7 linked regions of the Macaca fascicularis genome follow. The protein of the gene in region 1 interacts with the protein of each later gene in a biochemical or structural test. Links are inferred from orthologs where the notes say so. Each region holds a gene or a part of one and is shown on either strand. Other genes may lie near its edges. The genes, in order: LRRK1, BAG1, SCEL, CKAP2, BAG5, NEK1 and CIMIP4.

Region 1 (3,906 bases):
ATCTTGTTCAGGCCACCAGTGGCTCCAGACCCCAAATCCCTCTTTCGGGGAGCAACCTGCACAGCCTGGCATGGTAAGTTGTATCCTCACCTGTCATTGGCGACGGGCAGGGCGATCTCAAACTTGGCCAGGAACTGGAAGTACTGCTCTTCCGTCTGCTGTGTGAAGCCAGTCCCCACCAGTAGCATCCTGAGGTCTTCTGCTCTGATCACCCCATTCTTGGCCACTGACCGGGAGCCCTTAATGTTAAAGATCCTCTGCAGACATTCGGACAGCCAAATAGGGTCGAGGAAGTAGAGGTTCCTCAGGCCGTGGCTGGTGTCTGGGAAGTGTAGCAGGGTGCCAGTTTCTATGAGGAAGCTGATGGCTGCCCCAGGCAAGGAGAGGAGGAAGCAGCAGTTAGACAAAGGAGCGAAAGGGACTCTGGGGTGGCCTTACTTTCCAAGGGGACCCAGGTCACAAATTCTTCCTAGGAAGAAACCAACATGCCCCACATGCTGGACCCTTCAGGTGGGTTGGCAGCCTGATCACAGGTGCCCTGGTGGCCCCTGGTAACTCTTGCCAAAGTCCTAGGCTAATGGCCACCTCGGTAACTACAGTTGATCCTCATTATTTGTGGATTCCGCCTTTGCAAATTTGCCTTCTTACTAAAATTTATCTGCGACCCCCAAATCAATGCTCCTGTGGTTATTTGCAGACATGTGCTGAGTGGTGAAAAGTTTGCATTGACCAATGTGCACATTCCCAGCGGAGGCTGAACAGGGCAACACTCTCAACTCTCGTGCTGAAAACAGGGGCCTGCTTAGTGGTCTATGTCAGTGCCATGTTTTTTGAATTTTTGTGCTTTTTGTTGATGCTTTCACTGTTTAAAATGGTCCCAAGTGAAGTGCTGAAGCGCTGTGTAGTTCCCTAAGCGTGAGAAGGCTGCGATGTGCCTTATGGAGAAAACCTGTGTGTTAGATAAGTTTTGTTCAGGAATGAGCAACAGTACTGTTAACCATGAGTTCAATGCCAACAAATCAACACTATATATTAAGTACAGTGTCTTTAAGCAGCAACACACATAAAACAAGGTTCTGTATTGATGGGCTGATGAGAATGTTCTGACCAGAGGCTTGCAGGAGCTGAACCCTGCGTCTCTCCTAGGAGCACTGGTTTAGTATTTGCTATTTCAGTGATCATGGTGACTTTACAGAACATAAGTCCTGTGGCTAATGAGAATCGATTGTAACTGTTTGACCTCTGTCTCCCTGACTGAACGTCAGCCCTGGAGGGCATGGACCAGTCCATCAGTTTATATGTCTGCCCTTGTGGCCAACACAATGCTGGTGTAGAGTAGCTGTTTGTGTTCTCTACCTCCAAGGAAAGAAGGGTGAGAGGGAAGAAGGAAGGGGAGGGGGATGGAAGACAGAAACACAGGCTGATTATCGGTCTCTCATTCATTGCTGAGGGCCAGGCTGAAGTACAGACAGTTCCATTTCTCACGGGCACCCTGCCGCCCACCCCAGCCCCACCCACCCGACTGCAGGTCCTCGTAGTCTTTGATGTCATTGTCGGGCGTCTGCTCCACCAGCTGCTCCAGCTGCCTGTCCGTCAGGTACTGCACGTCGTCGTCCAGGCTGCGGCGCTGCTGCTCTGCCAGCACGGCCTCCTGCAGACTCAGGTAGCTCCTGGGGATCTGGGGGACAGACGGACGAGGCAATTCCCGAGGCATGCCCGCCAGCTGGGGCAGATCCTGCCTGGCCCCTGTGGCCTGAGTGGGTGGGACATTTCCACCCACTATCTTCCATCCTGACCCTCCCTCACCAAGAACGACTGAGCCTTGCCACATGGACATGGGCTTCACAGGAGAGAGGGGAAGTGAGGATCCCCAACAATGGGAAGCAGGCCTACTGGTTTAAGCTGGACGAGCGAGGTACCCACCAGCCTCCCTGCCAGTCGCTGGCAGCCGATGGTGCTGCCCACGTCCTTCATGCTGCACGTGACGTGGAAGATCAGCTGCCGCAGCCCTTCCTGGCCTTCCAGGCTCTTGCAGGAAATCTCACTGTGTGCAAAAAGACCCGTCTTTACTCATCGTGCCCCACTCCGAGGAAGTGCTGCAGCTTCTCTGTTTTCCCAAGAGGTTTGTCCTGAATGCTGGCAAGTCTGGAGAACTCATGAAAGACAACACAAGAAGTTTACTGAGGCCTTGCTTTGTGCAAATCACTGTGCTGGGTGCCCCACACTGTCGCTTTAGTCTGTCTTCCTAGACCAAACATGGCACTTCACAGAGAAGGAAAGTGAGGTGCAGAGGTACATTGAGACCCCCAAGGGCACAAGCTGGGCAGGCACAGGCTCACGCAGGCTGGTCTCAGGTTCTGACCCAGAGCCAGGGCTCCTCTTATCACAGACCCTATGGGACTTTCTCAAGGTCAAAGCAATAATTCCTGACAGCCTCATCCCGTATTCCGAGCCAGGCCAATGTGTCCCAGGCTGACCCACGCACCAATACCCATGACGCTCCACCCCGGGCGAGGGAATCTGAGAGCTGCCAGGGCAGCTAATGCAATGTGCAGTATATTTTACTCCCATTAGGGCACACAATTTGCTGAACCTCAGCTTCTTCATCTACAAGGTGGCAAACAATCCCCACAACCAGTGACAGGAGGTCAGCCCAGGGCAATTGAACTTATCTGCATGGACACGTCGTGATGCCCACCCGAAAGCCCCTCCCAACTCTTGGCCTTTTTTAACTCAAAGGCTGCTATCAGGACCACTCAGACCAAAGGCAAGGGCTAGGTCCTCCCTCCCCAGGGTCTGTCCTTGATCAGTGATCAAAAAATGAGATGGGCAGCAATTGGATGGGTGGTGCCCATGTTCAGTCACCTGGTTCAATGGGCACCATGCAGTTTCAGCACTGGCCCTTGGGGCGGGGACAGGGCAGAAAGGAAGCAAAGAGGGGGCATCTCCAGGCCTCACCCAGCCAGCTGTCTGGTAGGTCTTCACCCTCTCCAAGGCTGGGTCAGCTCTGTGGACTGCCCCCCCTTGGCCAGGGAAGGGGCCTAGCCCCACCCAGCCTCAGGAGCTCTCTGTAAGCAGATCCCAGGAAGGATCAGCGACTGGCACCCACATGAAGGCGGGAGCTGCTAGAGGCTGGGCACTCACTGTAAGTGTTTGAAGGTGATGTCTGGGAAGCCTGTGGCCCTGGAGCCGGAGGGGGAGCGGCAGAGCGCCAGCACATAGGCACGCAGCGTTGCAATCCTTTCCACACGGAACTTGGCTTCAATTAAATCCAGGTGTGTCCCGACCACCAGCACCACGGCATTTGGGGCCTTGGCCTGCAACAGAGAACCCCACGGCTGAGTATCGTCTCTGTTCACTGAACAAGGGACAGGACAGAGCTCCCAGCTGTGCTGACCCCGGATGCCACAGCCCTTGCTCAGCCACCAATCTGCAGCCTTGAGATGGTTTGGATGTTTTTCTCCTCCAAATCTTATGTTGAAATGTGATCCCCAGTGTTGGAGGTGAGGCCTGATGGTAGGTTGGGTCATGGAGGTAGATCCCTCATGAATGGCTTGGTGCCCTCCTGCAGTAATGAATGCATTCACCCTATGTCAGTTCACAGAGGAGCTGATTGTGAAAAGGAGCCTGGCTCTTCCTCCTCTCTCTCCTGCTCCCTCTCTCACCATGTAACATGCTGGCTCTCCTTCTCTTCTGCCATGACTAAAAACTTCCTGAGGCCTAACCAAAAGCCAAGCAGATGCTGAAGCCATGCTTGTATAGTCTGTGGAACTGTGAGCCAAATAAACCTCTTTTCTTCATAAATTACTCAGTCTCAGTCATTCCTTTATAGTAATGCAAAACAGACTGCTATAGGAATGTCAGCCCAGGCAGCACCTGTGCTCCTCATTCTCTGTAAACCCCGAG
Region 2 (3,906 bases), on another chromosome or scaffold:
GATTGTTGGGAGCATTAAATAATGTAGATTGAGCTTGACACATACTAAGTGCTTTATAAGCATTTATTGTCATAGTTATTGTCAAATCCCAGCCAGCATCCATTTATGCTCACAGGAGAGCACCTGCCATGCTCAGATCATGAATTGTCTGAAATAGAACAAGTAGCTTCTCTCTCTCTGGGCTGTTGTAATGTGTTTGGCAAGGCAAATGACATTTTGTTGGTTCATAGAAGGTCCAAGTTAAACATGATAGTGGGGTTGGAGGGGGTCATCCTATTCAATTCCTTATATTAGAGATGGGGTACTGAAACCCAGTAAGGATTAGGACTAGCTCAAGACCACTTATTTATTTTTCCTTCTCATTGTGTAACATTAATTGGGGTGTGTTTTGGCTTTTTTTTTTGAGATGGAGTCTCACTCTGTCACCCAGGCTGGAGTGCAGTGGTGCAATCTCAGCGGCTCCCTGCAGCCTCTGCCTCCCAGGTTCAAGCGATTCTCCTGCCTCAGCCTCCCGAGTAACTGGGATTACAGGCGCCGCCTGCCACCACATCTGTCTGATTTTTTTGTATTTTTAGTAGAGATGGGGTTTTACCATGTTGGCCAGACTGTTCTCAAACTCCTGACCTCAAGTTATCTGCCCGCCTTGGCCTCCCAAAGTGCTGGGATTATAGGTGTGAGCCACCGTGCCCGGCCTGTATGTTTGTGTTTGCCCGGCCTATATGTTTGTGTTTTAATTACAGAATACATGCTGACTGTACAAAAGTTTTAAGTGCATGTATAGGCACTAATATGGAAAATAAAAATTATCCATGAGGCCCCAACTCAGAGATAACCATTATCGAAGCCTGAAATATATTTTTCATCTTAAAAAAAATTGATATAATGTTATATACACTTTATAAACTATTTTTTTGGATAAAAAATTAAACATTTTCCTATGATGGTATTTTTCAAAGCTTGCATGCATTTCATCTTGTATAAATGTATCATTTACCTAGCCAATTCTGTATTGTTCATTTAATACTATTTTTACCATTATGTGTAATGCTTCTTTGACTATCCTTGGACATAAATCTTTTTTGACCATTCCTGGTTTTTTTAGTAGAATAAATTCTTTGAGTTGGAATTGTTGGTTGATGTTTAAAGCTCTTGCTACATGTTGTGAAATCTGTATTTGTAGCTCTTGGCTGTGATAAACATCCTCAGAGATCCCTGCTATCCAACTCTTGTCACCAGCTAACTGGTCATTAGGCCAAGCTATGTGAGTGAACCATTAGACAATTTGATAAAAATAAGCACTGCTGCCATTCGTTAGCATGTGTCTGTGCCACAGGTTAGTGACACATGTACATATATTCCCTTTACCTCACAGTAACCCTCTAGGGTGTGAGTATCATAATCTTCATTTTTAAAATGAGGGTACTGAGACATGAATAGGCTAAGTAATTTGCTCAAGATCACAAGTTAGTAAATGGCAGTCAGTTTTCAAGCCTAGGCTTTGAAGACTCTAAGCCTGTGCTTTTAACATCTGCTTCTTGTGTACAGGATACATTTGTGATTGGGGGCTTCACTGGCACCAAGCCTCAGGAGGCATTCGCAGCCACAGTGGGTCATGCGAGGTAGAGCAGACTGCAACCTGATAGAATTCTTGGACTGGCCCACGGCCAGTCTTTTAAATTTTTCCAAGAGATGAAGTTGTGGATCTGAAATGTGGCCTGGCCTGCCAGGGCTATGTTGGACTCAGTGTGATCGCTTCAGTAGTATTGTGGCATGGAGTTTTCCATCAGCCTCAAAGAACCCTTGCAGTAATGCATTATTTCCCACAGGGTTTTCTGCCCAAGGATTTACAAGCTGAAGCTCTCTGCAAACTTGATAGGAGAGTAAAAGCCACAATAGAGCAGTTTATGAAGATCTTGGAGGAGATTGACACACTGGTAAGTAAATATTCAGCTGAGAAGAACTAGTTTTGTCTTTATTTCAGTCACATTCACTCTTCCAGTAATGTACTCTCCTATTGTCTGAGCAAACCCATCACTTAAGAATATTAAGCATCTGCTTTTGTGTGCCAATCACGTTGCTTGGTCCTGGGTGAATGCACAATGATAAGACAGTTCCTGCTTTCTAGGCACTCACAGCCCTCCAGTATAGGACTTTTATCATTTATACTTATGTTTGCCAGTAGCATCTGTAATCATCATGAAGCTGGGACCCAAGGAGTCCACGATCTCATGGTCAAGGAAACAGGTTTTCACTTTCTCTGATACTCATGTGACTGATAATTCTGCAGGCCTCATTACTTATAGAGGATTCAGCCAGACCCAGATCTTGTGAGGCTGCTGAAAATCGTTAACTCAGGGGTTCTCTTTTGCAGATGATAGTAATGATATCTCTAGCCTGATGCTTCATTCTTGAAGGTGAACTGCACTGTGTGTTTCTGTTGGCCAGGGAGGGTGTAAAGAAGCAGCAGCGCCGGGCGCAGTGGCTCACGCCTGTAATCTCAGCACTTTGGGAGGCCGAGGCGGGTGGATCACAAGGTCAGGAGATCGAGACCATCCTGGCTAACACGGTGAAACCCTGTCTCTACTAAAAACATAAAAAATTAGCCGGGCGTGGTGGCAGGCGTCTGTAGTCCCAGCTACTCGGGAGGCTGAGGCAGGAGAATGGCGTGAACCCAGGAGGCGGAGCTTGCAGTGAGCCAAGATTGCACCACTGCACTCCAGCCTGGACGACAGAGCAAGACTATGTCTCAAAAAAAAAAAAAATAGCAGCAGCAGGCACTTTTCCTGTCACAATGAGCCCATGGTCTGGCCAGGGCAGAGTATCCATACATACGAAACAATAAAAAAACGAAGTCTGTGTTACAGATCAGTTCCTACGGGCCAGACGTTGAGAATACAGGGAGCTTTTATAGGGACAAGAGCCATGGGAAGGCAATATAGGATACAGACTCAGGGAAAGGGTTCCTGAAAATGGACATCTCGTTTACATTGGTGACCCGTGACCTGTTTTATATACTGTGGGTGTTTCTTATGTGTTCTCATGTCATTTTCACTGAGGATTATTTGTTACATGTTTACTATTTACTAACTTGTATTATCAACTTACTCTTCCATAGATCCTGCCAGAAAATTTCAAAGACAGTAGATTGAAAAGGAAAGGCTTGGTAAAAAAGGTTCAGGTGAGTTGTGTAATAGTGCACCACGAGGCGTAATATGTTAGTGTGTAGGTATGCATGTTTATCTCTTCAGAGTCGGTAGTATAGCAGCATGGTGTGTGGTATGGGCCTGTTTTGGTTATTACTTATTTATCAACAGGAACCCTGAACGTCAGAGAAGAGCCCCGTATGTCCCTGTAATTATATATGAATTTAAACTGTTTAGGGAGGGAACTCACTGGAGAGCAGATAGGGCTGACACGTTACACAATTCCTGGAAGCAGTATTCATGCATACATTGCTTCCTGCGATTGTTCAGGTGCTGTGCAGTGGCCTTGTGGCAAAGCTCCCTGCCTTTACCACCTTTTAGGGGATTGCTGGCCTGGAGCATGGTCAGAATGCTGGTCCTATGCTCCCTCCCTCCCCTTACCTTGGAACCCAGGCCAGTTGCCCATCTCCATTCATGCATAGTCTGTTTTGAGTCTCAGCCATGGGTTCCCCAGAATGGCTAAGCAAGTGGGCAGTGGTTGGCTATCCCTGGATGGGCCCTTACTGCCCTGTGTGTATTTTCTAGGCATTCCTAGCTGAGTGTGACGCAGTGGAGCAGAACATCTGCCAGGAGACAGAGCGGCTGCAGTCTACAAACTTTGCCCTGGCCGAGTGAGGTGTGGCAGAAAGAGGCTATGCTGCCCTGAAGAATGGCACCACCAGCTCTGCCGTCTCTGGAGCAGAATTTACCTGATTTCTTCAGG
Region 3 (4,547 bases), on another chromosome or scaffold:
CCTCCCAGTAGAAGCAACCTTTGTTTTTGTTTGTTTGTTTTGTTTTTTGTTTATTGAGATAGGGTCTCACTCTGTCACCCAGACTGGAATGCGGTGGTGTGATCACAGCTCACTGTGGCTTGGTCCTTCCATGCTCAAGAGACTCTCCTGCCTCAGCCTCCTGAGTAACTGGGAACAAATACATGCACTATCACACCCAGCTGATATTTTATTTTCAGTAGAGATGAGATCTCTCTCACTGTGTTGCCCGGTTTGTCTCAAACTTCTTGGCTCAAGTGATCTTCCCACCTTGGCCTCCCAAAGTGCAAATGAAAGCCACTGCAACTGGCCAGAAGCAGCCTTTGACATTGGGTCTACTGCTGCCCTCAGTTATGAGAGAAGTTTCAACCATCCTTTTCACATTTTTTTTTTTTTTTTTTTCTGCGAGAGTCTCACTCTGTTGTCTAGGCTAGAGTGCAGTGACATAATCTTGGCTCACTGTAACCTCCACCTCCCTGGTTCAAGTGATTCTCCTGCCTCCTCCTGCCAGAGTGGATGAATGGTTCTTCTTGACCATCTAATCACTGTCTACTAAGACTTTAAAACTCTGCATCAACATCACCTTCCAGGTTCTTCCTTCTCTCCCCTATGCGATGCCTGGCATTGAAAATTTCTGTCTATGACTTTATCATGGTATGTTACTGTTATTAAATATAGCTGGGGTTACAGGTGTGCGCCATCACACCCAGCTAATTTCTGTATTTTTAGTAGAGACAGGATTTTACCATGTTGGCCAGGCTGATCTTGAACTCCTGATCTCAGGTGATCCGCCTGCCTCCACCTCCCAAAGTTCAGGTATGAGCCACCACGCCTGGCCCTTTTTCACATTTTTTTATACATGGATAAATAAGATAGAGATTAGAATTCTTATGTGCTAGGTGTATTTTCCCTTTGATAGTTTTACAAAATATTCTAGGTGTAGAATGTTTGGAACAGACTTCTTTCGTGTTTTCTGATCCTAGGGTTCCTGGGTTTTTGAGAACTTGTTTGTCTTGAAGTTTCCTTTAAGCCATGTACTCCTTGCATGCTTGTCTGTGCCCCTGCCTTCCAGGTACTGTGGGCATATGGGGGTTCCTTCTATTGAGTTTTCAGTTTTATTTTTTGAAAGAGAATGCAAAATAGATTGGGTCCTATGCCACCTTGTCAGTGATATGGTTGTGCATATTGTTGATATCAGTTAAAGGGCAATCACAGGAGCGTATCTATATATATATATATTTGCATAACAAGGCCGTAAGTTAAAGAATTCACCAAACAAAGGCCGTAGGTTCACGAGTGAGACTGTTTTAATTGAACTGGTATTTGTACAAGGTGACACCCTGTTGCATACCACAGACCTCCTCCCTGAGTGACTCAGCCGCTGAGAAAGAAACCTCTGAACTGTTCATTAATACAGTCAGGTAGAGGTTGAGACTCCACTGAATAAACTCTAGGTTCCCATTTCTTTCAGTCAGATCCTCCCAGGGAATCACTACAGGCCGGTTAGCCAAAAAGTCCTGGTTTTCTGCTCAATAGAGGTAAGTTGAATTATACTTGCAAACAGAAATACATCTGCTGTATGTGCACAGCTTTCTCTGTGTTCCTTTCAAATGATTAAAATTAGAACTTACAGTATTATCTTTGTCTTTTCTTCCTATAAATTTTGACAGCCTCCAGCTGACTGTTAGCTCTGCTCTTCCTTGCTGTACTTTTAGGCCACATTGCATTGAACTTCTTGGCAACTTTACACATTACGGGCATCACAGAAATGAGCACCTATTTGATTTTCTGGGTGGGAGCTGTCAGCTGGTGAATCCTGCCACACAAAGGATAATAAATTATTTAAGCGAAGGGACCAGCACCTGCTGGTTTATTTTCTCAAGTGACTATACAAACATTTTTTAAAGGAACTTTCTGTTTTCATAAATGATGCTTTTAGTGAAATAGTGAACTCAAATATTGCTTTATAGTTAATAAGTCATATTTTTTCTCTACTGCTAAAAATATTGCAAGTTGTTGAGCTATGAGAGAGAGAGGTTTATTTTTATGAGGTTTTTGTCTCCACCCTATCTTCCCCAAATAAGAAAATTGCCATTTCTTACTTGAAAGTACCAAGGAGTAAAGGCAGGGTGTGGGGGCAGAATAGGGGTATATATGATCTGTGGGCATCTGGCCAACTTCTCTACAGTATATTCTGCATTCTAACCTAAGGAGTGATTAATATATATGGGGGCAATTTTCAAACTTTATTCATAGCCTAGTCCTGAAAAACCAGTTTTGGGAGACTTTTGGTAAGGATAGAAGAGTTCTTTTGTAATTAATAGTTAAGCTGACTTGTCTGGTTTGTGTTTTTTTTTTTTTTTTAATCATTTCTATTTATGATACAGAGCTGTGGAATTCAAATGCAGGGGCCACTCACAGCTTGCAAATTGCAGGTCTGTGTCCTCCAGAGAGGCGCCCCCACAGCATACTTGGCTCTATCTTTAGTACTTGAGTTCTCATGGCTTCCTATTGCTGACCAGGTCACCTGCAGTCTGAGAGGGGTTTAGGCACACCAGTGCTCAGTGCTCATTTCCCAGAGGTTTACCGAAGAATTTTATAACTTGGCTTTCAAGTGTTTATAGTAACCAGAAAACTAAAGCATAGCATGTGTGGGTAATTTTATTTTTCATAAAATGTGATTACATTTAAAACTGTCTTTCACTTCCACAGTTTATAACGTAGATATAGCCTTCCTAATATTTGCGGTGCTCCAGTGTTTAAAGTATCAGAAACATCAATTTGAGAAAACTGAGAAATGACAACAGTAAAAATTTTAGTAAAACATTCAGATGATCCTAAATGTTGGGATATGCAGAGAATGCCAACAACAGGTCAGAATTTTTATTGGAATGTTAGCTTCGTGTAAATCTTAGATCTAATTGACTGAATATTTCAACTGAAATGGAGCATAGGCCCATCTAGTCTAATGCCTGAATTTTCTAGATGAGAAAAACAAAGCATAAATGTTAAGTAACTTGTGAAGATCAGAGTAGCAGAACCAGAACATGAAGCCAAATTGCTTGTCTTTTGTCTTACTGAATTTTCTCAATATTTTTTTCAAATACTTTTTATTATAAAATATGTAGTAGCAATAAACGAACCACACTCCATCACAGACTGTGGTTATCCAGCAATATGTGGAAATATTATACTGTGTATGGTGTGACTAAGACATAATGGAAGACATAGACATATGTTTCCAACTTGTGGCTTGTGGAATCAGTGTTGCCATTTATTATATTTATGAGATTTTCATCTCAGGATCCAGTAGCCCCTCAGCAGGGAGGGGATCTGATGTATGTGTGTTAGCTGTGGTCTGTACAATCAGAACACCCTCGCCCCGAATGCCATTCTGTAGGTGATGCTTACCTGACTGCCTTCTCAGACTACCAGAATTATGATGAAATACCTGAGAGGTTCATATTCCTGGGGACTATGTAAACAAAACAAAGAATATGTTTTGAATGACTGAGCTCATACTGTGGAATGAACTAAGCAGTCAACTTAAGCAAACATTGTTTAACTGAGAGCATCCTATATGGTTCAGGCATCAACTCCCACCATTTCTTAAGAGTGAGGGGATCAAATCTTTGGCCCTGCAGTCCAAGGGAAATCTTTATTGGTTTCACTTGGCTTCACTTTCTGTCATTATCCTGCTTCTAGACCATTTGTTGATCATTTTCCATTTGCTCTGGCTAGGGACTTTGAAATAAAGATTTTTATATATTAATTGCTGCATACATAGCTGGAGTTGTTCCAAGTTCACTTCTGAATCAAAAGTCATTTTTGTTGTTGCTTTTTTTTTTTTTTGAGATGGAGTCTCGCTCTTTTTGCCAGCCTGGAGTGCAATGGCACGATCTTGGCTCACTGCAGCCTCCGCCTCCCATGTTCAAGTGATTCTCCTGCCTTAGCTTCTCGAGTAGCTGGGACTACACGTGTGCACCTGACTAATTTTTGTATTTTTAGTAGAGACGGGGTTTCACCATATTGGCCAGGCTGGTCTCGAACTCCTGACCTCAGGTGATATACACGCCTCGGCCTCCCAAAGTGCTGGGATTACAGGCATAACCAATGCACCTGGCCTTAATCAAAAGTCTTTATCAGTTATATTCCTTAAGTGTTTCCAGCTTACCACTGTACAAATGGTAAACTGTGATTTTTCCACGAACTTGTGATTTTGGGGCTTGGGAGAAGCTCTTCCTTACATGGATGCTTTGCCAAATGACAGCTACATTTACTAGACTTTCATTTCATGTTGATTACTAAATTTTTTAAGGATATGAGTCATCTTTTTATTGTAATACTTAACTGGAAGAGTGAATTTTATAGCTATCTATTAAATGACAACTGGTTTGCTTCTAGATACAAGAACTGATCGTCCTGAATCCTCATTGTAATAGTATAATTGAGAGCTCTAAAAATCTAAATAATTTATTCTTTGTCTGTAGACCCAAGTTTCCCTGACTCTAAAATGTGATTACGTATCC
Region 4 (3,906 bases), on another chromosome or scaffold:
CAGATGCCCATCAATGATAGACTGGATAAAGAAAATGTGGTACACATACACCATGGAATACTATGCAGCCATAAAAAGGAACGAGATCATGTGCTTTGCAGGAACATGGATGGAGCTGGAGGCCATTATCCTGAGCAAACAAACACAGGAACAGAAAACTAAATACTGCATGTGGGAGTTAAGTGATGAGAACACATGGACACCTCAAGAACACACACACTGGTGCACATGGGAGGGTGGAGAAGGGAGAGGATCAGGAAAAATAATGGACACGAGGCTTAATACCTCGGTGAGGAAATAAGCTGTAAAACAACCCCCCATGACACACATTTACCTTTATAACAAACCTGCACATCCTGCACATGTATTCCTGATCTTAAAAGTTAAAAAACAACAACAACAAAACTACAATTCACTTGAAGGAAACAAAAGAACTAAAACTTACCTAAATTAGCTTTTTCTTGACTCTTCATTGTTAGAATATCTACAATCGTGTGTCGCATCTCTTCAATAGGCTTAATTTTTTAAATGAATAAAGCAGATCCATGTAAGTTTTATTTTCTCTGACATTAACTAGGTATCCAAGTTGTGATTAAAACTTCATACCGTATTTTAAAGTAAGGGAGTGGCTCTTAAACCATGCTTCTCAGACCACTTAATAATTAAGATTGAAAAACGGCTGTCTTGGCTGGGCGCGGTGGCTCATGTATGTAATCCCAGCACTTTGGAAGGCCGCAGGCGGATCATGAGGTCGAGAGATTGAGACCATCCTGGCTAACACGGTGAAACCCTGTCTCTACTAAAAATATAAAAAAATAAGCCAGGCGTGGTGGCGGGCACCTGTAGTCCCAGCTACTCGAGAGGTTGAGGCAGGAGAATGGCGTGAACCCGGGAGGCGGATGTGCAGTGAGCCAAGATTGCGCCACTGCACTCCAGCCTGGGCGACACAGCGAGACTCCATTTCAAAAAAAAAAAAAAAAAAAAGAAAGAAAAAAGAAAAATAAAAGAAAAATGGCTGTCTTTTCCAATTTATAGATTAAAAATGAAGGATAGAATTCTTTTTTTTTTGAGACAGTCTCCGTCTATCGCCAGGCTGGAATGCAGCGGGGCAATCTCGGCTCACTGCAACTTCCGCCTCCCAGGTTCAAGTGATTCTCCTGCCTCAGCCTCTCCAGTAGCTGGGACTACAGGCGCATACCACCATGCCCAGCTAATTTTTTGTATTTTTAGTAGAGACAGGGTTTCACCATGCTGGCCATGCTGGCCTTGAACTCCTGACCTCATGATTCGCCCGCCTTGGCCTCCCAAAGCGCTGGGATTACAGGTGTGAGCCACCACGCCCAGCGTAGATTTTCACATTTAACAACTTCCCCCATAATTTTACTTAAGCCGTGCTCCTTTTCTCTTACATTTAAGTCTATGGTTATATTTTTGTTTCATATGCTATGAAATGTATCTCTGAAGAGCTTAAGGTTGATCATCTTAACATATTCATTCACGAATTTATTAAGAGCCCATTATTTATCAGATATTATAAGCATTTACTATGTTCCATCCAACACAATGAAGATTAGGGAAGGTGTAATTCACATTCTTATTTCCAGAACTTAGTCCTGAATTACTCAGCTATCCTGCTTTCAGTTTTCTCGGCTTTTTTTTTTTTTTGAGACAGGGTGTTGCTCTGTCGACTCAGGATGGAGTGCAGTGGCACAATCATGGCTCACTGGTCTTGAACTCTACAGCTCAAGCAATTCTTCCACTTCAGCTTCCTGCATAGCTGTGACCACAACTGTCTACCACCAAAAAAACTTTAAATTTTTTTTTTGCAGAGATGGGGTCTCACCATCTTGCCCAGGCTGGTCTTGAACTCTTGGACTCAAACGATCCTCCCACCTCGGCCTCCCAACGTGCTGGCATTACAGCCGTGAACCATCATACCTGGCCACTAATTTTAAGAGATAGGGTCTGTGTTGCCTAAACTCCTGGGCTTATGCAATCCTCTCACCTTGGCCTCCCAAGTAGTTGGGACTATAGGTATCTACTACTGTGCCCAGCCATCTTGGCTAATTTTGATTCTTGTTTTCCAGCAGCTTCTCCTCTGGTATTGTATCTTTCCGTTTACATTATTGCTTTGTATGTGAGCCTTGGCTCCAACTTTGCATCCTTGCTACAATGTCCTTAGTTGCCTTAAGTAATGTCCCTTCTGATACAACATAGTAGGGGCCTAACACTCCTTTCCAGGTAGCATCTATCAAATATAATTACCATTCTGAAAAGAGTTTTACACATGATAGCCACTGAGAGACTATCTGCTGAATATCTGATTTTTTACTTAAGTGAAAAGTCAAATAGCATTTGTTGATTTTGTTGAGACAACGGTGAATACATCTTTCTTAAAAAAAGGAGTTTAAGCCGGGCGCGGTGGCTCAAGCCTGTAATCCCAGCACTTTGGGAGGCCGAGACGGGCGGATCATGAGGTCAGGAGATCGAGACCATCCTGGCTAACACGGTGAAACCCCGTCTCTACTAAAAAAATACAAAAAACTAGCCGGGCGAGGTGGCGGGCGCCTGTAGTCCCAGCTACTCGGGAGGCTGAGGCAGGAGGATGGCGTAAACCCGGGAGGCGGAGCTTGCAGTGAGCTGAGATCCGGCCACTGCACTCCAGCCTGGGCAACAGAGCGAGACTCCGTCTCAAAAAAAAAAAAAAAAAAAAAGGAGTTTAAAAAAATTATCTATGTAAACAATCTCTAAGAATGTGTTTCTGAGAAACCTGGATTAAAACGAAACATATTTTAAGAACATGTATCCACGAAAAAAAAAAAAAACCCAACCACACAAACTCAAGAAATGATTTATTCTACACCCAAAACTTTGTGTATCAATAGGCTGGAAGAGGTAAGGAGTATGGTATCAAACCATTATAGAGGTAATAATGTTCGAGAAACTGGTTTATTGCCATTTTCTGTATGCAGACAGGATCAATCTATACAGTGTAGATATAGCAGTACATTTGGGTTTACTTTTTTTTTCTTTCTTTTTTTTCTTTTTTTGAGACAGAGTCTTGCTCTGTCGCCCAGGCTGGAGCGCAGTGGCGCGATCTCGGCTCACTGCAAGCTCCGCCTCCCAGGTTTACGCCATTCTCTTGCCTCAGCGTCCCTAGTAGCTGGGACTACAGGCGCCCGCCACCTCGTCTAGCTAGTTTTTTCTATTTTTGTAGAGACGGGGTTTCACTGTGTAAGCCAGGATGGTCTCGATCTCCTGACCTCGTGATCCGCCCATCTCGGCCTCCCAAAGTGCTGGGATTACAGGCTTGAGCCACCGCGCCCAGCCTGGGTTTACTCTTAAAGTGAAAGAGTTCTCTCACAAAACCAAAAGAGCTTGATAACATTTAAAAAGCTAATTTCATCCCTTTTGCTTTATATTCAATAAACAAATTTTAATATTACATTCAGTCTCCCCATAAATTTTCAACCAGGAAATGCATACAATAATATGCTAAGACATTTCATGCAGAAAGTTTCACTAAATATACATTTCAGCTTATACCCACTTTCTAAAGTCTGATTATTCCCAGTACAGTAATAAAAGACTTAGAAGGCCAACAAACAGCAATCTTTGTGGCCTTTAAACATTTACAACTACTACATATACAACCACAATTTTCTCAAGCTATGTTGTGATGTGTTTCAAATTAATTCCAAATTGTCTGCTACACTGTAATCGTAAAGATCAGCAAATGTTTATCTTACCTGAGCCCCTGCCAGAATGGCTTTCTCATAGATTGCAATAATATTTTCAATAGGACTTGTGAGTGGTTCAATAAGTGCAAGACATATCCAATACTTAACAAGCTTTTTGGCATCTGGAATATTTTTAATCAGGTCATTCAGTGTGACCAGTATGTCT
Region 5 (4,572 bases), about 86 Mb from region 1:
ATCATAGAGAGAATGATCCGAATGGAAAAGTTAATGTGCTGTAATGATATTTGTCTTGCAACATCACAAGCAGCAGATACTGAATAGAATTTGCTTCAATCATAAATACTGAGACTGAAATATGCACGTATAAATCAATGAACTGAAAGCTCTCTATACATAGAAGCACATATGAAGTGCAAAACAATATCAAAAGTGAGACCTCTGGTATTTTAGTACTCCCATTCATCGGATTTCAGGTCGAGATAGCTGAGAATATTCTGGGCAAGCTTCACAGCCTGTTTCCTGGCAGCCTTACACTTCTCTTCTCCCTGCGGATCAACAGCATCCAGGGCTAGCAGCTGCTTGGTGAGCAGCTCTTCCAGCCGGATGTAGTTCTTATCGGTTCGATTTCCATCAAATGAAAGAACTTCTCCTTGGATCTCGGACAAGTTTCCAAGGACGTTCCAGACGGCTTTATGGGATGGGTGCTCCTCACAAGCAAACAGCTTTCTTTTCTCAAGGGCCTCCTTCAAGTCAATATACGTGATCAGAGTTTGCACCTCGATCACTGCTCTTCTCCTGGCTTCCCGGATGCAGGGGTTTTTTTCAAGACTTACCTCATCCAACTGTCCAATTAAACCCTGCAATTCTGTTTTGGAGCTCAGGTACAATTCAGGAGGGTTTTGTGCTTGGAGAAGTTCATTTTTTATTTCTCTCATTCTCGTGAGGACCTTTTCTATTTTTAAAATGGAATGATTCTGTCTCAGGTCAAATGCTTTAGTCGTGTCTGCTTCCTCTTCCAAATCCAGATACTTCAATAATTTGTTGATATCTTCTACTACCTCCCTCCGATAATTTCTGATTTCTGTCCGGCCGCACACATCTAGAGCATCTAGGTCAGCGATCAGCCCTGAGAGCACACAGGATAAGTGCCTGCAGGTCTCACTGTTGTTCACGCCCATCAGAAGTGCAATCAGGACCCCTCGGGCCTTGTTCACCTCACACATCACAAAGTTGATTTTGGCCACGGAAGGATGTGCATCCTCGGAAAGCGGCAGGGAAGGCTGCTTTTTCATGCAGTCTTCGATAATCTCTTGCACCGCACAGATTTTGGTTAAAGTGTGATACCTTGCTTTCCGCAAGGAGATTTTTCCTCCAGTTTTAACATGTGTCAGCCTCAGAATGATATCCTGGATGCCTTCTTCAAACTCGTCAGTTACGCAGTTGCCTCCATTATAAAATGGCACAATTTTCTCTCTAACGAGGGACTGGGCTTCCTCAAAAATGTTCTGTATTTCAATCCGGTGTGGGTGGTTTGCATTCTGCTCCAACTCTTTGAGAAGACGTTCTGTCTCCTGTGCTGCCCTCTTCCTAGCTTGCTGAATATCTCCTTTTCCTTCAGTATCTACAGAGTCTATTTCAAAAAGTTGTTTTGTTAGAATCCTCTCCAGTTTCTTGTAATTCTTGTCATCTGACAGACCACTGAAGCCGACAACTTGCTGTTCTACACTTTTTACTTCCTTTTGGATTTCCTGAAGCCTACTAATAGAAGGATGTTGGTTTCCCATATCCATACTTTTGTTGTGTTCAGTTTCACAAGCACTAAAAGATGACAAGAATAACTTATTACAGCACAAGGCTTCTGCAGAACACTAATGGTATACTAAGTCATTCTAAAATTCTCATTTTAAAAAGGCATACTTTCGAGCAGTCATCCCACCTCAGCCTCCCCAGTAGCTGGGACTACAGGCGTACACCACCACGCCCAGCTAATGTTATTATTTTTAGTAGAGACAAGTCTCACTATATTGCCCAGGCTAGTCTCAGACGATCCGCCCGCCCCCGCCTCTCAAAGTGCTGGGATTAAGGTGTGAGTCACCGTACGCCGCACAAACTATTTGGAACCGGCAGGGCACCTTTATGCAAGGTGAAACAGTAGCTCTTGTAACCTTCCGAACACTAACAGTACCCCGCCCCGCCACACAGCTATGCCTAGTTTCCAGAAACTCTAAGCAAAATAAACTGAACCAGTAGAACAAAAACCAGTGGCTCTCAGATATCCCCAAGTTCCCGCTTCTTCCCTTTGTGCACTTCCCCTCCCCACCCTTTTAGCTCCTCACACATCTTCCCTCCCAGATGTCTCCCCGAAGAGATAAAAACCCCACAGGTAAAGAAGAGGGACGGGGATTGCGCTGAAGGGCACCACCTTGGGCTTTCGAGGCCCAGCACCTCCTCAGCCCCCAACATGCTCCACTGTCTCAAAAAACTACAACCTGCGAAAATGTGGTAACTGAATAATTCATTCACTCGCCTCCCACTGAGAGTCCACAATCGCCTAATGCACGTTTCAAGCTCTTGGTTTCTATCAAACGGCTCGCTCAAGGTGGGTAACCAATGGAAACGCATCATCCATCCCCTGTGGATGTTCTGGAGGCCACGGAGGGCAGGCGGCCCGAGTTCCTTCCTCCCCGCCTCGCCCTTCCCTCTTGGCTCTTTACCCAGAAGAGGTCTGAGCTGGCTGCGATCTTGGCGTCCCGTGGCTGAGGTGGCGAGGTGGAAGATCAGCCCTTTACGGGGTGCGGCACCGGAGCTGGGCCCCCAGCTGCATCCCTCGCGCCCCTCCCGACTAGGTCTGAGCGGGGCAGCCGGTGAAGGGGCCGGCGGTGAAGGGGCTGCTACTGGCTGCAGCAGCCGCTCCGGGCGTCTCGGCCTAGGTGCCAGGGCGCGCCCGCAGGCCCTGACCTCACAATGGGCGCGCGAGGGGCCCTCGGCCCGGCCGGGGGAAGCCGGGGAAGGAGGGGAGCCAAGGCCCCGCCGGAGACACCAGAGACCAGGCCCGACCACCCCTGGACAGCGTCCGAGCCAGGGACGGGGACGGCGCCGAGACCAACTCTGCTCGGCCTGTGCCGACAGGCCGCGCTGGGGTGGGCGCTGGCAGAAAGGTGGTCCAGCGGGGAGCCCCGCGCGGACGGGGGGCCCCACTCGTCCCCCCGACGGAGGGAAAAGGCCACACGCCGCGCTTCGCTCACCTGTCCCGCCCGCGCCATCGCGCGATGCGTCGCCGACGCTTCCACGACTTCCGCAGCTCCGGCCGTCGCCCGGGCCAGCCAGCCCACGCCCCTGGCCGAACACCCCTAAACCCGGGGACACCTCCTCCGGCGTCCGCGCCTAGCCGCCGACAGCGCCAAGCCCACCGCCAGCGGCGCAGCAAGGCAACTTGGAGTGACAGCGACCAAGGAGCGGCCGCCCGGGTCAGCCCGCGCCGCCCGCCGCTCCCGTAGGCCGTCGTACCGCGGGGAAAGCGCACGGTCGGCCGCACCGCCGCCCTCCCTCGGGCTTCGCGACCCTGCCGTAAAGCGGCCTCTCGCGCCGTCGCAATGCTGCCGTGCGCCGCGGGAGCCAGGGGGCGTGGGGCCATGGTGGCCTTGCGGGCGGGGAAGAAGAGTCTTCTCCGCGCTCTCAGCCGCTCCTTCGTCTGCCGCGGCTGTCAACTCGCTCCGGAGCGCGGCGCCGAGCGCAGGGATACGGCGCCCAGCGGCGTAAGCAAGCGCCTGGGGATATTGGGCCGGGAGGGGTGACCGGAAGGAAAGACAAACCGGGGCCTCGGGGCAGCTGCCTGCCATGCACAGCCGCCTCAGGCCTTTCTGCAGGTGCGCTCGCGTCCGATCCCGAACAGTCCCGCAGCCCCAAGGCTTCCGCGTCAGGGCTCTCGGTCGGATGGGACTGAGGGTGCCGCCGCCACGCCGGAGACTGTTGACAGCCAGAACCTTTAAGCATAAGAGTCTTATTTGTTCCCGAGAATGATTATTTTTTATATTTAAAGAGCTCTTGGCTTAGCGTGCATTTTTTTTTCGTGGTCTGTGTGTGTGTGTGTGTGTGTGTGTGTGTGTGTGTGTGTGTGTGTGTTTTGGCTTTGTTAAAATTATTAGAGCTTTTATTCAAGCGGTGAACACTTTATACTTTATCATCGTACTTTTGTAGCACTTCACGTTCAATAGTTGTTCTTATTTGCAAACTATGTGTGGGTATATGCATGTTACTGGCCAAAGATCCGCAAAGAATGTCTGTAGCAAGAAAGAGTGGCAAGCAATTTTTCTAAGTCATACTTTTGGGAGGGATGTTTTGTTTAAAGGAGGCCTAGGCCTTGATTCCATCTGTCAGATGAAAATGTTGGCTAACGGTGTGGAATGGGCTGGAGATAAAATATTCAAGCAAAGCATGCAAATACCAAACAGGCTAATGAAGGAGGCTGGAAAACTTGGTTTAAACAATAATTAAAGAAGTGTAAAAAAGAGCTAATTAAAAATTGTTCGGGCTCCCTGGCTCACACTTGTAATCCTAGCACTTTGGGAGGCCGAGGCGAGCAGATCACGAAATCAAGAGGTGAGACCATCCTGCCCAACATGGTGAAACCCCGTCTCTGCTAAAAATACAGAAATTAGCTGGGCGTAGTGGCACGCGCCTCTATAGACCCAGCTAGCTACTCGGGAGGATGAGGCAGGAAAATCGCTTGAACCCGGGAGGCGGAGGTTGCAGTGAGTGGAGATCGCACCGCTGCACTCCAGCCTGGCGACAGAGGGAGACTTCATC
Region 6 (3,906 bases), on another chromosome or scaffold:
GAATCACAAGCATGAGCCACTGCACCCAGCTAGGATTATTCTAATTGCTAGAGCTGTCCAACAATCTATCCAGTAAGATTTTTAAAAATCTCATTCAAAGGTTACTTATAAATTAAATTAAAAATATGGACTTAAAGGACTTCAGTCAGTAAAAGTATATCACAGATCAGTAAAAGTATATGACAAAGTTAATATTATTATTGCTTAAAAGTAATATAGTTCCCATGTAGATTTCACAAAACGGATGTGATGTAAGCTGAGTCATCTACATGTATCATCTTGTTTTTCTCACATTTATTGAAAATTATACAGACATGTGAGGAAATCTTACCTTCTTGGTAGGCTCCATCTGCCATGACTAAATGAAGAATCTTGGCATAAAGATGCTGATGTTCATTTCCCAAAATATTTTGAACTATTTTTGAACAAATTTCAATATTTTCATCTTCATCTTCATGAATAGCCTATACCAAATTCCCAAATATAAATTAGTATTTGAATAACTTTCTCTAATTGTAGACTTCCCTTTTTATTTATAATAAATCTAATGACCAATAAAGATCATTAACATTTCTCTAACCTTCAAACAGAGCACATTTTAAGTGTTTTAATTGACTTTTCACTTACCTTTATTTTCTCGTAAACCTCAAAGAATTTTTCAAAGCCCATTTCCTGCTCCAGATGAAGTCTCAGTTCCTCTAAATGGTTAAAGACACTATCGTATTCACATTCACTAGCATTTTCCCCATCACTGTTATCTAAAAAATAAAATTAAAATAGATATTTTGATTTAAAAAGACTGAATAAGATAACTCTTACCCTAATAGACTAAAATTCTATGACAAATGAATAATGCCATTGAAGTAGACTACTTCTACTTTCATTATAAACGGTTTTTGTCATTTTAATATTTGTCCTTTATTTGGTAAAAATTATGTATAAATCTGTCTAAACAAGAATGTTACTTTTCCTTTATAGATATAAAAAATAAGTCAGGATGGAATCAAAACACTCCTAGAGATGTTACTTAAATGAATAAAAAAGTGGAAAAAGCACACCTCCATATTTTGCTTTGAAGCAGCTAACCCTAACTACAAAAGTTGGTAATAAATGTGGGCCATACCATGGAAAAGCCTGCAGAAGGTAGACAACCTAAGACATACATCATTACATTTCAGGAAAGCACCTGGAAAGTATAAATGGCCAACATGTTTTGTCATGTACATGCTCAAGATACTTTGAAAAAAAACATTACTTAGTCTTTTCACATTAGCTTTTCTTCCTAAATTAACATAATATAGTTACTGAAATAGACACACTTTCTATGCATCTTAGGGGTAATGTTATGAAAGAGCAAATTTCCAAATTTATGAAACGAGTTTTTAGTACTTTAAAAACTGCTTTCAGTGTTAACCCTGCTGATTAATATATGCAGAAGCTCTTTCTAAAATATAGAATGACAAGAAAACAATGTTATTATCTTTATTACTGGAAAAATCAGTCAAGAAATGGAGATTAGAATAAAAATGCTTCAAAAAAGCATTGACATAATAGTAAAGAAAAAAAATTTAATAAAAAAATGGAAAATTGGCCGGGCGCGGTGGCTCAAGCCTATAATCCCAGCACTTTGGGAGGCCGAGGCGGGTGGATCACGAGGTCAGGAGATCGAGACTATCCTGGCTAACATGGTGAAACCCCGTCTCTACTAAAAATACAAAAAACTAGCCGGGCGTGGTGGCGGGCGCCTGTAGTCTCAGCTACTTGGGAGGCTGAGGCGGGAGAATGGCGTGAACCCGGGAGGCGGAGCTTGCAGTGAGCCGAGATCACACCACTGCACTCCAGCCTGGGAGACACAGCGAGACTCAGTCTCAAAAAAAAAAAAGGAAAATCACATATTTGTATGAAAAGAAAAAGAGTGAAAAATGGGAGAGACCCAGAGGCATGCTTCAGTTGTATTTAAAGTTGGAAATGGTCCACAGCAGAGATTAGAAAACTATATTCCACTTGAAATATCTGTAAACTGAAAAAGAAAAAGGTCCAAAACTCTGATTATGCACCTGAGTGCCATTCTTCGTTCAGGGCACTTTCACTGCTGGGATTGTCATCTTCATCCGCCACATCTGTCCCATTTGCAGTTGGCTCCACATCGCTGTTCTTTAAGACTGACTCTTCTTCTTCACTGTATTCTTCACTAGGTTGTTCCCTAAGTAACTGTTCCATTGAGGCCTGCAGCTCTTGTAAATCTGTGTCAGTTTCTTCAAACACACTGAAATTTAAAAGGTTTAACTGAAAGTTTCAAACATACTGAAATTTACGAAGTTAAACAACTAAAACTACCTCATGCTGAAATGTTACTTTTACTCAATATGTAGGCACTTCTACTTTAAAAATCCTAATAGATAACAAAAAATCTGGAAAAAACCTACATTGTTTTTCACCAGTAAGTTGACGATGAACACAACACATATTCTGGAATACATAAGCCAGAAGATGATTTGTTTAAATGATCCCAACTTGCCAAAGAGAATCACATAACTATTAATGTTACTCATTGCTTAAATTCTGAAACAATGTTTTGATATTTTAAGAGGCCAGACTATAGAAGTTTTTCTAAAACAAATAATAGTAAATTATTTTCTCTTTTATGGAATTCTGTAATTTTCAAAATATCCATGTGGCTAATAGCTAGACACTATACAAAAGGCTTTCCATATAAATGCCCATTGGGCATTTGAACTTTTAGAAACAGAAATACTTAGGAAATTATATATTCATGTTAACAGGATGACCCAGTGAATAAAATGGTCACCAGAAATCTTATCTTTAGATGCTTATTCTTAAAAATGTTCTAAAATACATAATAAATAGATTTTCTGTGTAACTACCCTATACCAACCATCATAATTCTTCACTGGAGAATCTTGTTTCTAAAGTATTGGTCAGAATATTAATTCTGTTTTCATGGGATTATAGATGCTGGAATGAAATAAGTCACATAAATAATACCTTACATTTATATAGAACTTTCGTTTTTTAAACAGTTTTATCCTATTACTCAAATTTTATCCATAAAAAATCACTTTAGAGACATGAAAACTATGAACCAAAGTGTTTAAATGACTTGGTCAAGGCCACATAGTCAGTAAATGACAGAGCACTGAAATCTAGGCCTTTGACCACTTCTGTAATATCCAAGGAACATACTCAGAAATTTTTTTTGCCTTTTGTGATTTGCTTCTTTCTTCTAACATGGAATGTAAATGGAAAAGTTTGTAGACTAAAGGAGTTAATTGATGTTTTAGATGTCTGAAGACTTCTGAAAGAGATTGTGAACCTAAGCCGAGGATTTCATCTATCAGGAAGGCAATGCTTAATAGAACACAAGGGCTAATTAAGGCTTTTCTAAGAGTTTAGACTCAAATCAAATATGTACTGAAGAACTAAAATATAAACACTATTGTGCAAGACTGTCAATATAATTTCCATTAAGAGAAAGAGTAAATAATCTTTTTATGTAGAAATATCTTCATTTTGTACTTATATATACAAACTCCTATAATTTGACTTGTAGGAGCTATAGAAAATCTAGGCATCTAATTAGAATGAGAAAATAGTGTCTAATCTCTTGACTCATCCCACTAGTAGCATTTAACTTAACATACAATTACAAGACTAATTTAGGCTGGGTGCAGTGGCTCACGCCTGTAATCCTAGCCCTTTGGGAGGCTGAGGCAAGAGGACTGCTTGAGGCCAGGAGTTTGAAACCAGCCTGGGCAACATAGCGAGACCTCTCTAGAAAAATATTGCAAAAAACTTGGCTAGGCGTGGTGGCATGAGCCTATATTCCTAGCTACTAGGGAGTCTGAGGCAGGAGGACTGCTTGAGCCCAGGAGGCCAAGGCTGCTG
Region 7 (3,906 bases), on another chromosome or scaffold:
GGCAGGAGAATGGCGTGAACCCGGGAGGCGGAGCTTGCAGTGAGCTGAGATCTGGCCACTGCACTCCAGCCTGGGCGGCAGAGCCAGACTCTGTCTCAAAAAAAAAAAAAAAAAAAAAAAAAAAAAGAAAAGAAAATGAATCCCTACTTCATACTAAAAACAAAAATCAACTCCAGGTGGATTAAAGACTTAAATGTGAAAAGCAAAGCTAAATATTTTAGAAGACTGTATAAAAGATGATCTCTATGATTCAGCATAGGATAGGAGTCCCTCAGCCTGCTCCCCCAGCACCTTCTCCAACTCAGTAAATAGCCATCTCATCCTTCCAGTCGTTCAGGTCAAAAACGTTGAAATCAACCTTAATTCCTGTATCTCACCCCAAAATCTATTCATTAGCATATTCTCTTCTCTCTGCCTTATACAAATATCCAGAATCCTACTACATCAGGCCACCTTCACCATTACCTCCCTGAGCTGCTATATTGCACAATGGTGCCTTCCAGAATCGTGCAGTGCACTAGCCCAGCTTCCAGGACCAAGCCACCATCATCTGTCCCATCTGGAGTTTTGCAGCTGCCTCCTACCGGTTTCCCTGTTTCTGCCCCAGCTCCCTATGTCCATTCTCCCCATAGCAACTGGAGTGAGCCTTTAACCTGAGCCAAACAGGACCATTCTCCTGCTTAAAACCCTGGCTTGGTTTCTCATCTCACTCCGAGTAAAGACCTTCCAGCAGGCTTCACGACCCAGTGTGTTTCCTCTGATGTCTTCTGCCTCACTCTTGTGCAGCCATACCAGTCTCACCAACCTCAAACAGCAAGCGCAAAGGCTAACCCCGGGTGGGTGGAGACAGAGAGGGACAGATGGATGGGCACACTGACAGTACTGTGCTGCAGGGTGAAGCCCTGATTCGTAGTGTTTGCCAATTTCCAGAGTGTAAATACTACTAGCATAGCCAATTTTAAGACAGCATTTATGTGCCAATCAGTGCAGCGAAACAATTGCCTCCTGTGAGCTGGCTCAAGCTGCTAGGAGCTCCAGCACATCCTTGGCACAGTTCTACTTCCCAGGTGGGATGATGGGACATGGACATTTTAAAAAACAGATTCTTTTACATTTAAGTAGACATTATCATACAAAGTTGTATGGAATAGCTATTTGGTGACCGATACTTGTTAAAGAGAGAACTGGAAGGCAGGATCTGGAAGGCCCAGAACAGAGAGCAAGCAGAACTGTATTCTTGGCCGGGCGCGGTGGCTCAAGCCTGTAATCCCAGCACTTTGGGAGGCCGAGACGGGCGGATCACGAGGTCAGGAGATCGAGACCATCCTGGCTAACACGGTGAAACCCCGTCTCTAATAAAAAATACAAAAAAAACCTAGCCGGGCGAGGTGGCAGGTGCCTGTAGTCCCAGCTACTCGGGAGGCTGAGGCAGGAGAATGGCGTGAACCCGGGAGGCGGAGCTTGCAGTGAGCCGAGATCTGGCCATTGCACTCCAGCCTGGGTGACACAGCAAGACTCCGTCTCAAAAAAAAAAAAAAAAAAAAAAAAAAGAACTGTATTCTTGCTTTCCTCCCCCAGCACCATCCCTTCTCCAAGCTCAAAGAAAAATCCAGAAAGGCTTCCAGTGGGTGTCTGGTTCCTCGGGTGACAGGGATCCGAGCCAGGTGGAAGAGGTTTGTCAGGCCTCTGGGAACACTGGAGAGGGCCTGGAGTGAGGAGAGAGGAAGGAGCCGCACCAGAAAGAGTCTCATTTTGCAATGAGGCCAAATCAGAATGTGGGGCAGAGAGAAGTCCTGTGTGCTGTGACGGGCATCTGAGCCATCTAGAAGACCCTGGGAACAGGATCAAAGCTAGGGAAGAGACTTAGTGGTCAAGAAAAGACTATGAGGCTGTGGAGGCAAAAGGAACACCTGACTTTGAGTCCCAGACACAATGCAGACTACTAAAAGTTCTAGCGCAAATGATCTGAAATCTGCCCGTGAAATGGAGCTAACAGCACTCTCCTCATCCCAACCAAACAGAACTACAATGACCCAATGGAAACCCTCTGTAAATGTCAGATCCTCCAACCCACCCTTCCTGTCTTCCCAGGTAGCGCCACCTCCAGGCTCTGGAGAAGAAAAATGATAGCCTGACAGCTACTGAGTGCTCACGACTTGCCTTGGCCAAGCACCTTCGTGTGGCACTTCATAAAGTCCTGCCAATGACCCAGCGAGGGCCATACTCTCATTATCATCTCCACTGTACTGAGAAGGCAGTGGAGGTTTGGAGAGGTTGAGGATCCCACCTAAGGTCACACCCAGCTAGTGAGCTGAGTTTTGAACCAAAAAAACTTGATATTGTCACTGTGATCAAAGGTTCCTGGGATGGGGCTGGGGGTGGGGAGCAGCAGTCCTGGGTCTTCTACTGAGTCCTGGGCCTCCTACTGGCAAATTAAGAACCAGAGGTGGGCAGGGTACAGTGGCTCACGCCTGTAATCCCAGCACTTTGGGAGGCCGAGGTGGGTGGATCACTTGAGCCCAGGAGTTTGAGACCAGCCTGGGCAACATGATGAAACTTTGTCTCTATCAAAAATACAAAAAACAAAACAAAAAAAAATTAGCCAGGCATGGTGGCATGCATCTGTGCTCCCAGCTACTTGTCAGGGCAGGGTTGTGGCTGAGGTGGGAGGATTGCTTGCTTGAGCGTGTGAGGTGGAGATTTCAGCGAGCCAAGACTGTGCCACTGCTCTCCAGCCTGGGCAACAGGATGAGACTTCAAAAAACACAAGAAGGGAAGGGAGGGGAGGGGAGGGGAGGGGAGGGGAAGGGAGGGGAGGGGAGGGGAGCGGAGGGGAGGGGAAGGGAAGACAAGGGAAGGCGGGGAGGGGAGGGCAGGGGAGGGAAAGGAAGGGAAAGGATGGGAAAGGAAAGGAAAGGAAGGGAAAGGAAGGGAAAGGAAAGGAAGAGAAGGGAAGGGAAGGGAAAGGAAGGGAAGGGGCCACAGGTGTCTGGGAGCGTGAGGGGCTGACTGCCAACTGGGATGAATCATCCACACATCCAGGACAGGGGTCTGGATGCTCCCAGCACTCGCAAGCTGACATAGAGGACACATGGGCATGAAATAAGTGTCCTTGGAGATGTGCCCTGGGGTAAAGGCCTTCCCTGCCCCATGCCTGAGAGACCATGGGTGTTCCCGGTCCCACCCTTTTCCCCTTTGACTTGACCTTGAAACAAGTTTGACCGCATGTTGTAGCCGAGATCATAGTAGTCTGAGAAGACGGAGGAGATTTCCACAGGATTCGGGGTCCTGCTGGGCCATGAGCTTGCCTTCTTCTGGCCCTCGAAGGCTTCATCAATAGCCCTTTGAGCCTGAGCAGAGAGGCAGGGACAACAGACCGGGGATGGGAAAGCAGTGTCAAGCCCCATATCTCCCTCCAACCCTTCCTCCCTTGACCCTGCCCTCCCCACCATGATCCCACCTTCAGCCTGCAGCCCTCAACCTGTTCACAGGGCTGGGGAGCTGGAGTATACAAAGGCCCCAGCCCCAACCCCTCTCAGCTGCACTGCCATGGGTGGGGGGCATCAGGTTAATGATCATAAAACCTCTTCCAAGCATTAAGCACCTGCTACATGCAACACTGGGGTGGGGGGTCTCTATAGGGTGCCACTCTTCCCACCATTTTATAAATGAGGAAAGCGGGCCTCTGGAGGCCCGAGATCACCCAATTCACATGGCTGGCAGGCCACAGAGCCCTGGCTTGCCTCCTACAACTGAGGCATCACGCAGGGCAGCTCTGGGTGGGTGCTTAGCTTTCAACAAGGCCAACTCCCTCTTCATACCAACAGGGAAACTGACACGCAGAGAAGCTGAGCCCAGGCCCAGGGGCAGAACACCTGGGTTTGAGTTCCAATTCTGCAATATATC

What was found.
Region 2: the proteins of LRRK1 (region 1) and BAG1 form a complex in vitro, tested with the Homo sapiens proteins (2 studies listed by BioGRID and IntAct, with this or other methods). The link is inferred for Macaca fascicularis from reciprocal best matches to the Homo sapiens genes LRRK1 and BAG1.
Region 3: the proteins of LRRK1 (region 1) and SCEL form a complex in vitro, tested with the Homo sapiens proteins (2 studies listed by BioGRID and IntAct, with this or other methods). The link is inferred for Macaca fascicularis from reciprocal best matches to the Homo sapiens genes LRRK1 and SCEL.
Region 4: the proteins of LRRK1 (region 1) and CKAP2 form a complex in vitro, tested with the Homo sapiens proteins (2 studies listed by BioGRID and IntAct, with this or other methods). The link is inferred for Macaca fascicularis from reciprocal best matches to the Homo sapiens genes LRRK1 and CKAP2.
Region 5: the proteins of LRRK1 (region 1) and BAG5 form a complex in vitro, tested with the Homo sapiens proteins (2 studies listed by BioGRID and IntAct, with this or other methods). The link is inferred for Macaca fascicularis from reciprocal best matches to the Homo sapiens genes LRRK1 and BAG5.
Region 6: the proteins of LRRK1 (region 1) and NEK1 form a complex in vitro, tested with the Homo sapiens proteins (2 studies listed by BioGRID and IntAct, with this or other methods). The link is inferred for Macaca fascicularis from reciprocal best matches to the Homo sapiens genes LRRK1 and NEK1.
Region 7: the proteins of LRRK1 (region 1) and CIMIP4 form a complex in vitro, tested with the Homo sapiens proteins (2 studies listed by BioGRID and IntAct, with this or other methods). The link is inferred for Macaca fascicularis from reciprocal best matches to the Homo sapiens genes LRRK1 and CIMIP4.

What each region holds. Positions count from the first base shown.
Region 1 is NC_088381.1:86,091,941-86,095,846, reverse strand, and holds part of LRRK1 (leucine-rich repeat serine/threonine-protein kinase 1), read right to left. Parts: intron 3,318-3,906; coding exon 3,145-3,317; intron 2,045-3,144; coding exon 1,924-2,044; intron 1,679-1,923; coding exon 1,519-1,678; intron 368-1,518; coding exon 91-367; intron 1-90.
Region 2 is NC_088389.1:65,829,378-65,833,283, forward strand, and holds part of BAG1 (BAG family molecular chaperone regulator 1), read left to right. Parts: intron 1-1,826; coding exon 1,827-1,934; intron 1,935-2,445; coding exon of another isoform or gene 2,446-2,534; intron 2,535-3,115; coding exon 3,116-3,178; intron 3,179-3,728; coding exon 3,729-3,818; 3' UTR 3,819-3,906. UniProt on the Homo sapiens protein: Co-chaperone for HSP70 and HSC70 chaperone proteins. Acts as a nucleotide-exchange factor (NEF) promoting the release of ADP from the HSP70 and HSC70 proteins thereby triggering client/substrate protein release.
Region 3 is NC_088391.1:68,554,668-68,559,214, forward strand, and holds the start of SCEL (sciellin), read left to right. Parts: upstream 1-1,437; 5' UTR 1,438-1,556; intron 1,557-4,547. UniProt on the Homo sapiens protein: May function in the assembly or regulation of proteins in the cornified envelope. The LIM domain may be involved in homotypic or heterotypic associations and may function to localize sciellin to the cornified envelope.
Region 4 is NC_088391.1:31,638,624-31,642,529, reverse strand, and holds part of CKAP2 (cytoskeleton-associated protein 2), read right to left. Parts: coding exon 3,750-3,906; coding exon of another isoform or gene 3,741-3,749; intron 516-3,740; coding exon 446-515; intron 1-445. UniProt on the Homo sapiens protein: Possesses microtubule stabilizing properties. Involved in regulating aneuploidy, cell cycling, and cell death in a p53/TP53-dependent manner.
Region 5 is NC_088381.1:171,733,206-171,737,777, forward strand, and holds the start of BAG5 (BAG family molecular chaperone regulator 5), read right to left. Parts: upstream 3,049-4,572; 5' UTR 2,392-3,048; coding exon 2,294-2,391; intron 1,585-2,293; coding exon 213-1,584; 3' UTR 1-212. Other genes in the region: COA8 (cytochrome c oxidase assembly factor 8), read left to right, coding at 3,399-3,521. UniProt on the Homo sapiens protein: Co-chaperone for HSP/HSP70 proteins. It functions as a nucleotide-exchange factor promoting the release of ADP from HSP70, thereby activating HSP70-mediated protein refolding.
Region 6 is NC_088379.1:174,218,158-174,222,063, forward strand, and holds part of NEK1 (serine/threonine-protein kinase Nek1), read right to left. Parts: intron 2,267-3,906; coding exon 2,058-2,266; intron 759-2,057; coding exon 628-758; intron 465-627; coding exon 332-464; intron 1-331. UniProt on the Homo sapiens protein: Phosphorylates serines and threonines, but also appears to possess tyrosine kinase activity. Involved in DNA damage checkpoint control and for proper DNA damage repair.
Region 7 is NC_088384.1:14,674,836-14,678,741, reverse strand, and holds part of CIMIP4 (ciliary microtubule inner protein 4), read right to left. Parts: intron 3,351-3,906; coding exon 3,206-3,350; intron 1-3,205.